Linked DNA regions of Macaca mulatta. The protein of the gene in region 2 interacts with the protein of the main gene of each other region in a biochemical or structural test. Links are inferred from orthologs where the notes say so. Each region holds a gene or a part of one and is shown on either strand. Other genes may lie near its edges. The genes, in order: RHNO1 and HUS1.

The links.
Region 1: the proteins of HUS1 (region 2) and RHNO1 form a complex in vitro, tested with the Homo sapiens proteins (2 studies listed by BioGRID). The link is inferred for Macaca mulatta from reciprocal best matches to the Homo sapiens genes HUS1 and RHNO1.

Annotation. Positions count from the first base shown.
Region 1 is NC_133416.1:3,787,205-3,790,613, reverse strand, and holds the end of RHNO1 (RAD9, HUS1, RAD1-interacting nuclear orphan protein 1), read right to left. Parts: intron 2,176-3,409; coding exon 1,621-2,175; 3' UTR 614-1,620; downstream 1-613. UniProt on the Homo sapiens protein: Involved in microhomology-mediated end-joining (MMEJ) DNA repair by promoting recruitment of polymerase theta (POLQ) to DNA damage sites during mitosis.
Region 2 is NC_133408.1:80,603,627-80,607,909, reverse strand, and holds the start of HUS1 (checkpoint protein HUS1), read right to left. Parts: upstream 3,041-4,283; 5' UTR 3,004-3,040; coding exon 2,952-3,003; intron 2,287-2,951; coding exon 2,159-2,286; intron 2,067-2,158; coding exon 1,890-2,066; intron 298-1,889; coding exon 190-297; intron 1-189. UniProt on the Homo sapiens protein: Component of the 9-1-1 cell-cycle checkpoint response complex that plays a major role in DNA repair. The 9-1-1 complex is recruited to DNA lesion upon damage by the RAD17-replication factor C (RFC) clamp loader complex.

The DNA.
Region 1 (3,409 bases), on a different chromosome or scaffold from region 2:
TTACTCCTGACCTCAAATGATCCACCTGCCTCCGCCTCCCAAAGTGCTGGGATTACAGGCATGGGCCCGTCCTGGAGACTGTTTCCATCTACCTTTCTACAGCCTGTGGGCCTTCCTCAAACATCCATAGCCCACAGTGGAAGCCCCTGTCTAAAAGTGTACTCTGTCTCCAATAAATCCCGTCCCCAAATGTCAGTCCCTTTCTCCCTACCGACATGCACATCATCCCTACAGAACATCCTAAGTCCTGACGAGTCTCTGCACAAATGGCTTTATGGCATTCTAAGGTCAAAGTTGTTTCCCACATTGGTTTTGAACCTACAAGTTAGAACTTTAGGAGGCACACGCTGAGTGGACCGTTACACTGCCTGGGTCAGCCTGCACTCACTGTGTGACCCTGTGTATGGTTCATTCTCTGCGTCAAATTCCCATCTGTAAAATATGCAGAGTAATCCCTGCTTGATCTAGTTGGGGCTGGACCTGACACAGTAGGTCCAGCTGAATGAATGCTGGATGAATGGGGTTTAATGAGATGTACTTATCTGAGTAAAAGGCCATCTGAGACATTCGGTTGACTAGGGAAGTCCTTCTGCATTAATTACAATAAGTAATATTCATTGAAAACTTTCCTTATTTATTTATACACAGTTGAACAGTTACTCTAAGAAATCATTTTCTCACCCTATTTAATATTGATAGATTTCTTCAGTTAGAAACAAAAACTCAAAACATAGGCAATCCTAAAGAACTCATCTACGTCCCCTTTATCTTCCCTGATCTCATATAGTCCCTAAAACAGGGCTTGCTGCCCTTTCTTCTTCTTGCCTTTTCAGCAGATGAGTCAAGGTTGCAGAGGTGGCAGTCAACCACAGAGTCACAGTTTGATTTTTTTCCATCCATCAGCTCATAGAAGCTGCCATTGAGCCTGACAAGAGCTGGTACTCAAAAATGCAGAATGAATTGGTTTGAATGAGGTGATTAAAGGATTAACAAGTAGTGGTTAAGGAGACAAAGACCTTTAGTGGATGGGGTAATATTGCTGTATTACTGACAGAAGCAGGATTCTCTAAAAAAACTTTCTGTAGCCATTTACTTACATACATTTTAAAGAGTTACTACAAGATATTTTAAAAATTTAAACAGTTAATACAAGAAAAATATAAAGTGAATAGTTCATGACACTAAACTCAACTGTTCATGACACAAAGTATCTTAGAAAACAAATCTCGGCTGGGCGCGGTGGCTCACGCCTGTAATCCCAGCACTTTGGAAGGTCCAGGTCAGCAGATGAATTGAGGTCAGGATTTTGAAACCAGCCTGGCCAACATGGAGAAACCTCATCTCTACTAAAAATACAAAAAAATTAGCCAGGCATGGTGGCAGGTGCCTGTAATCCCAGCTACTGGGGAGGCTGAGGCAGGAGCATTGCTTGAACCCAGGAAGTGGAGGTTGCAGTGAGATGCGATCATACCACTGCACTCCAGCCTGGGCAACAGAGCGATATTACATCTCAAAATACAAAACAAAATAAAACAAACAAACAAAAAAAACCCCTGGGAATTGAATTCCTTTATGACTCCAAAAAACATGTCTCTTTTCTATTGAGATTGCTGATGGCAGTCAGCTTTTCACAAGGAATTGGCTTCTGCTCAGCTTCCCTCTCTCCCTGAGGTAAGCAAGCAGGTGCTGTCGTCTCCTCCACGTGACCTTTATTCCATACTTGTCTTCGGGGGTGTCTTCAACCAGAACAGGTCCAGGCTCTGGGCTATCAGGAGTGCCAGTGTGAAGAGAGCAGCTTGGAAGGCTATTTTCCTTCTGATCCCGGGGAATGAGTTCTTCCTTCACAGACGATGACTCTGGGGTCTGGATATCAGGTGGAATGAACACATAAGGTAAGCTCGGAAGTGCCTGTGCTGACATGTCCCCACAGCTTTGGGGACTGAGCACTGGAACTAAGGGTCTTCTGGAAACATCCTTTTCTGATTCACTGGGGCACTCCCGGATTAAGGGGATCCCCAATGTCTCTGAATTGGAAGACTGCGGACTCTCAAAAGTTAGATGTGGAAACTTGGAGGTGGTAGATTTTCGACTTGAATGTCTCGCCCGGTTTTGGTGGTGGTGTTTCCGGTAGGCTGGGAACAAGCTTCCTGCTGTTGTATCAAAATCAGGTGATACCTTTAAAAAAAAAAAAAAAAAGTGAGGTGAGCCTAACTAAGTACTAACCTAAGAGAGGAAACTATATCTGATGACCAGACTCTTAAATCGGGGTCTAATGTAGTAATGAACACAAAACTAAAATAGCTGTCTAATGGGATAGTAACAGGATGCTTTCGGCAAATTATTCCATCTCTCTGGCCTTCAGCTTCCTCGTGTGTAGGAAAGGGGATGATGTCTCTTTCCGTTCATCACACCACAGGGATATAACGTTTTTCCCCCTGGGATGGAGTCTCAATCCGACATCTAGACTGGAGTGCAGTGGCATAATCTCAGCTCACTGCAACTTCTGCCTCCCAGGTTCCAGCGATTCTCCTGCTTCAGCTTCCTGAGTAGCCAGGACTACAGGCGCCTGCCACCACGCCCAGCTATGTGTGTGTGTGTGTGTGTGTGTGTATATATATATATATATTTTTTTTTTTTTTTTTTGAGACAGAGTTTCGCTCTTGTCACCCAGGCTGGAGTGTAATGGCACTCTGCTCTGCTCACTGCAACTTCTGCCTCCCTGATGCAAGCAATTCTACTGCCTCAGCTTCCCGTGTAGCTGGGATTACAGGCACGCACCACCATGCCCAGCTACTTTTTGTATATTTTGTAGAGACGGAATTTTACCATTTTGAGCAGGTTGACCTTGAACTCCTGACCTCAAGTTATCCACCTGCCTTGGCCTCCCAAAGTGCTGGGATTACAGGCATGAGCCACGGCACCCAGCCAATTTTTGTATTTTTAGTAGAGTCAGGTTTTTGCCATGTTGGTCAGACTGGTCTCAAACTCCTGACCTCAAGTGATCCACCCGCCTCAGCCTCCCAAAGTGCTGGGATTACAGGCGTGAGCCACAATGACTGGCCTAGATATAACTTATCTTTAAACTTCATGAGGGTAGAGACCAGCGGTCTTGTTCTTGATTCCCAGCACCTAGCAGAATGCCTGGAACAAAGAAGGCCCTCAGTAAATAATGCAAAGCCAACTCCAAGCACAGGGGGGAGGAACTAGCAGAGGACCTGGCATATAATGACTGTTCAATAAATGTTCATTCCTACTCTCATCCACAAGATTCTGATGTTTAGGTTTCTTCCACAGTCCTGTAGCAGGTATTATGGTTCTTGCAAGCAGTCCTGAATAAGTTACATGTATTAAATACTCCCAAGCCAAGCTTATGTTTTTGTCTGGCCCTTTTACTACACTACTTTCCCGT
Region 2 (4,283 bases):
GCATGACATTTCTATCATATGCAACATGTTTTAAGATGTTTTATGTAAATAACAAAAGGCAAATATTCTAATGTTTTCCTTAAGAATCCTTTAAAAATAAAATATACTGCAAGACTACAACTGAAATTAGAGAATTCAAGTCATGCCATTTAATGTGGGGTGTACAACAGGATTGCAGGCATCACCTACATCAGGATCTGGGACCACCGGTTCTTGCAAGTCCTTCCACAATTTCCTAGGAATCACCTTTATAGGGATGTCATGTGTCACAATGCGGCTACTGCTTGACATAGATAACTGCCAAGAAAAGAATTAATTTAAAAATATTTTTATGTTGTTAATATTAAGCAACAACAAAACCACCCAAAGACCCGAGGACAAAAAAGTTGAAATGCCAAATCTAAGTGGAATGCTGTCAATTTATTCACTGAAAAGCCATTCGACCAATATTGATGGTGCCAATATTTACGGAACAGACTCTGGGTACTTTCAGGAACTGGGAAGTGTGGTAAATAAGACAAAAAGGTCCTCAATATTCCAGTGGAACAAACAGATCAATAAAAATGCAAACAAATGAAATTGCATGACATGCTCATTAGAGTCGTGAGAAAGCAAACCACAGTGACCAGAGTGAGTGTGGGGGAGTTTCCTTAGACTGACGAGGTGACATTTCAGATACCACCAAAAGCAGCAGCCGTGGGAAGACAGGAACAAGGGGACAGGGCTTCAGGCTGGGGAAACAGCACATGTAAAGCCATGAGGCAGAAAGAAGCAAGCCTGCTATGTTGATGCAACCAAGAGAAGGCCACTCTTTGGGCATAGGACACTCAGGGGGCTGCAGTTTCTAAACAGTTAAAAGGCAAACTATATTTACTTCTAGGGGCTTCTATGAGACTCGCAGAACAAAATATCTTGCACTTTTGGACATAAAATATTATACGTTACTATCTTGCTTTTCCTTAATAGGAAAAACATAACAAACTTATGTTGTGACATGAAATACCCTAATTAGCTCTAAGAACTGCCTGACTGCAGAGTCGAGAGTTATGAAGAAAAGTTGGGTCGGGCGCGGTGGTTCATGCCTATAATCGCAGCACTTTGGGAGGCCTTTGAGAGGACGAGGTAGGTGGATCACTTGAGGTCAGGAGTTCAAGACCAGCCTGGCCAACATGGTGAAACCCCAACTCTACTAAAAAAATACAAAAATTAGCCGGGTGTGGTGGTGGGCGCCTGTAATCCCAGCTGCTTGGGAGGCTGAGGCATGAAAATCACTTGAACCTGGGAGGCGGAGGTTGCAGTGAGCCGAGATCGCACCACTGCACTCCAGCCTGGGTGACAAGAGAGAGACTCAGTCTCGGAAAAAAAAAGGAAATACGAACCTCATTCCATGAGTAACAAGAGCAACTCTGGGTTGTATGTGTGCGCATGAGGTTGTGTATTTGTGTGTTTGGAGGACAGCTGTGCACTAAATTCATCTGGCAGTAGCATATAAAACATATGTGTACTGAACAATGAGGGGCCATTTAAAGGTTATCAGAGCAGATGAGGCAGGGTAGGAGTGGGGAGAAAATGTGTCAACGGTGAAAATGCATAGAAACCATGATTTCTAGACAAGGTGACAATACCACTACAAGAAATAGAGAGGCTGGAAGTTTTATGGCTTGGAAAAAGCAGCAGTCTAGCCGAATGCATAGGATAACAACACTATTTTAAAATGAGGAGGAACTGACTCTAATGCAAAATATAGTTATGGACCAGCTCTTTAAATTTAAATAAACCAAATAGCTTTCAACAATATTTATTGCTAAAGAGGCTAGGCTAACTATGTCTATTCCTTCGAAGCCAAGACTTCTGTGGGAAATTTCTGAAACCCTGACTCTCCTACTCACCAGCTCCACGGAGACTGTGAGGCAGGGAAAGTGTTTATTAGTCAGTTTGATTTTCAAGGCTCTGGCATTCTGGGCAGTTTTCAAGGCTCGAGATAAGTTTTCCGATGTTAGCTCTAAATAAATCTCATTGTTTTCTGCAGAGACACCCTCCATTTGAAATTCGTTGAAGAAGTTCTCCTAAGGGAAAAACATGGGGGATGAGGCAGGGCACTTGTGGTCTTTCCAGAGACAATCTGCAGATTGCAGGCCTCTCAGAAGTTTTTGCTCACCTGTTCCAGCTCACACCACATGCTCACTCCTCCATTAGCCAGCTTGTCACAAAGGATGAAGTTAAGCTTATCAGGGCTGATGCGGAGGGTGCAGGTTTTGGCAAGCTTGGCTATCATGTTACTGATTCCTAAAGCAGGGGTTAAAATAAGGAATCACTAAAACGCACATCATGTATCCTAGAGACCAACTTATTTTACAGAATTTCTTGTTCATCATGGTGCAACTTCTCGGTGGAAAAATAACCACTTACATTGGTATCACACTGGAAAGTATGATGTCACGCAATTCTCCCAACAAACCCGGGGAGATGTACAGCATACATCATCAGTGCTCAAATAAAAAAACAGGCACCTACTAGTCATTCATTCATTTAACACGAACTTATTGACTACTGGGTACCGCAGTACAGAGTTCAATGCAAGGTTAGGCACTGTCAGGGTGGAGGGACGAATGGGGCCTTGAAGGAATGTCAATGCCTGATAAAGCCGTCTGTGGGAGCAGTGGCCGCTTGCTTTTAAAGCCGCGTGATCGGAATCAAGTTTCAGAAACGTCCCTTGAAAGCCGTCTTCACCCCAAGTGCCCTACGATCCGACCCGCGCACTCCCGGCCCATCATCCCGCGGCCTCCACCAGCACCCCTATGCCTGCCCCATCCTCCCGCGGCCCCTCCCGCGGCTCATCTCGCTGCCCCTTCCACCGCCCATCCCCGCTCTGATCTTCCTCCGCGGTCCCCACCGCGCGCTCACTGCTTCCTTCCGTTCCTCCCTCGCTCCCCTCCGGCCTCCCTGCTCACGTGTGAAGTGGTTCAGACAGGCCCCGTCCACGATCTTAGCCCGAAACCTCATGGCCGCGCCTGCCGCAGCCGCGACGGCTTCTGTGGGTAACAGATAAGTGTCGCGCCCTGAGTGTCCCGGCCCGGAAACACGGCGGCGCGCACAGTGGTTCCGCCCGGCTCGGGCTACCCGGCTCTTGCCAGGATTGCCTCCGGGCCACGCCCCTGGGGTGGTGGGGCCAGGGGTCACGCCCCAGAGAAGGTGGGGTCACGGGTCAAGGATCACAGGTCACGCCCCGAGGAGGTGGGGTCCCAGTCTCCGGGTATGCCTCGGCGCTCCGGGGTAATGTGGGATCTGCTTTTAGTGAGGCGGTGGCTTCAAGCCCCAGATTTGGGGAGGTGGTTCTGAGAATTCACGTTTTGAAAGAATTTTGTGACACCTACTCCAAGTGCTATTTAAAAATATCCAAATAAAATTAGTCGTTTATAAAGGTTAAACAATATTATCTTAAATATACCTCTCTAAGGTAGAGCAGCTTTAAACCCTCTAGCCTCCGATGACGGTACCGGTACTTTGGTATTGAAGCATCTTGGTTGATTAAGGTTCTGAAAACTGTTTTAAATGACTTTTTAAAAAATTTAACATATTACTGGCTAGTTGGTAAAGACGGGATGCTTAAAGAACACTGACGTTAAGTGGTAATTCTGCAGTTTGCCTCAAGATGAACTTTATTACATCCGATAAAATTCTTATTAGCATAAATAATGTCATTAGGTTTTTTTAAAAGGAAAGAAATTTTAAAGGGGGAAATGAAGCAACAATTGTATCTAATTTGGTTTTTCAAAGACTAAAGATTATCTATGTTAATTGTTATTTTTAATGCCCTCTGCAAATAGGAGCCTAGACCGTTGTCTTTAACTTGACATATAGAATCAAGACAATGCAGATGATGATGATGATGATGATGATTTTGAGACGGAGTCTGGCTCTGTTACCCAGGCTGGAGTGCAATGGCGTGATCTCCGACCTCTGCAACCTCCACTTCCTGGGTTCAAGGGATTCTCCTGCCTCAGCTTCCCGAGTAGTTGGGATTACAGGCACAAGCTACCAGGCAAGGTTAATTTTTTTTTTTTTTAGACGGAGTCTCCCTCTATTGCCCAGGCTGGAGTGCAGTGGTGCGATCTCGGCTATAATCCCAAAGTGCTGGGATTATGGGCATGAGCCACTGTGCCAGGCCTAGATTATTTTTAAAGACACATGCACACGTTATGTTTATTGTGGCACTATTCACAATAGCAAAGACTTGGAACCATCCCAAATGTCCATCAATAACAGACTGGATAAAGACAAGT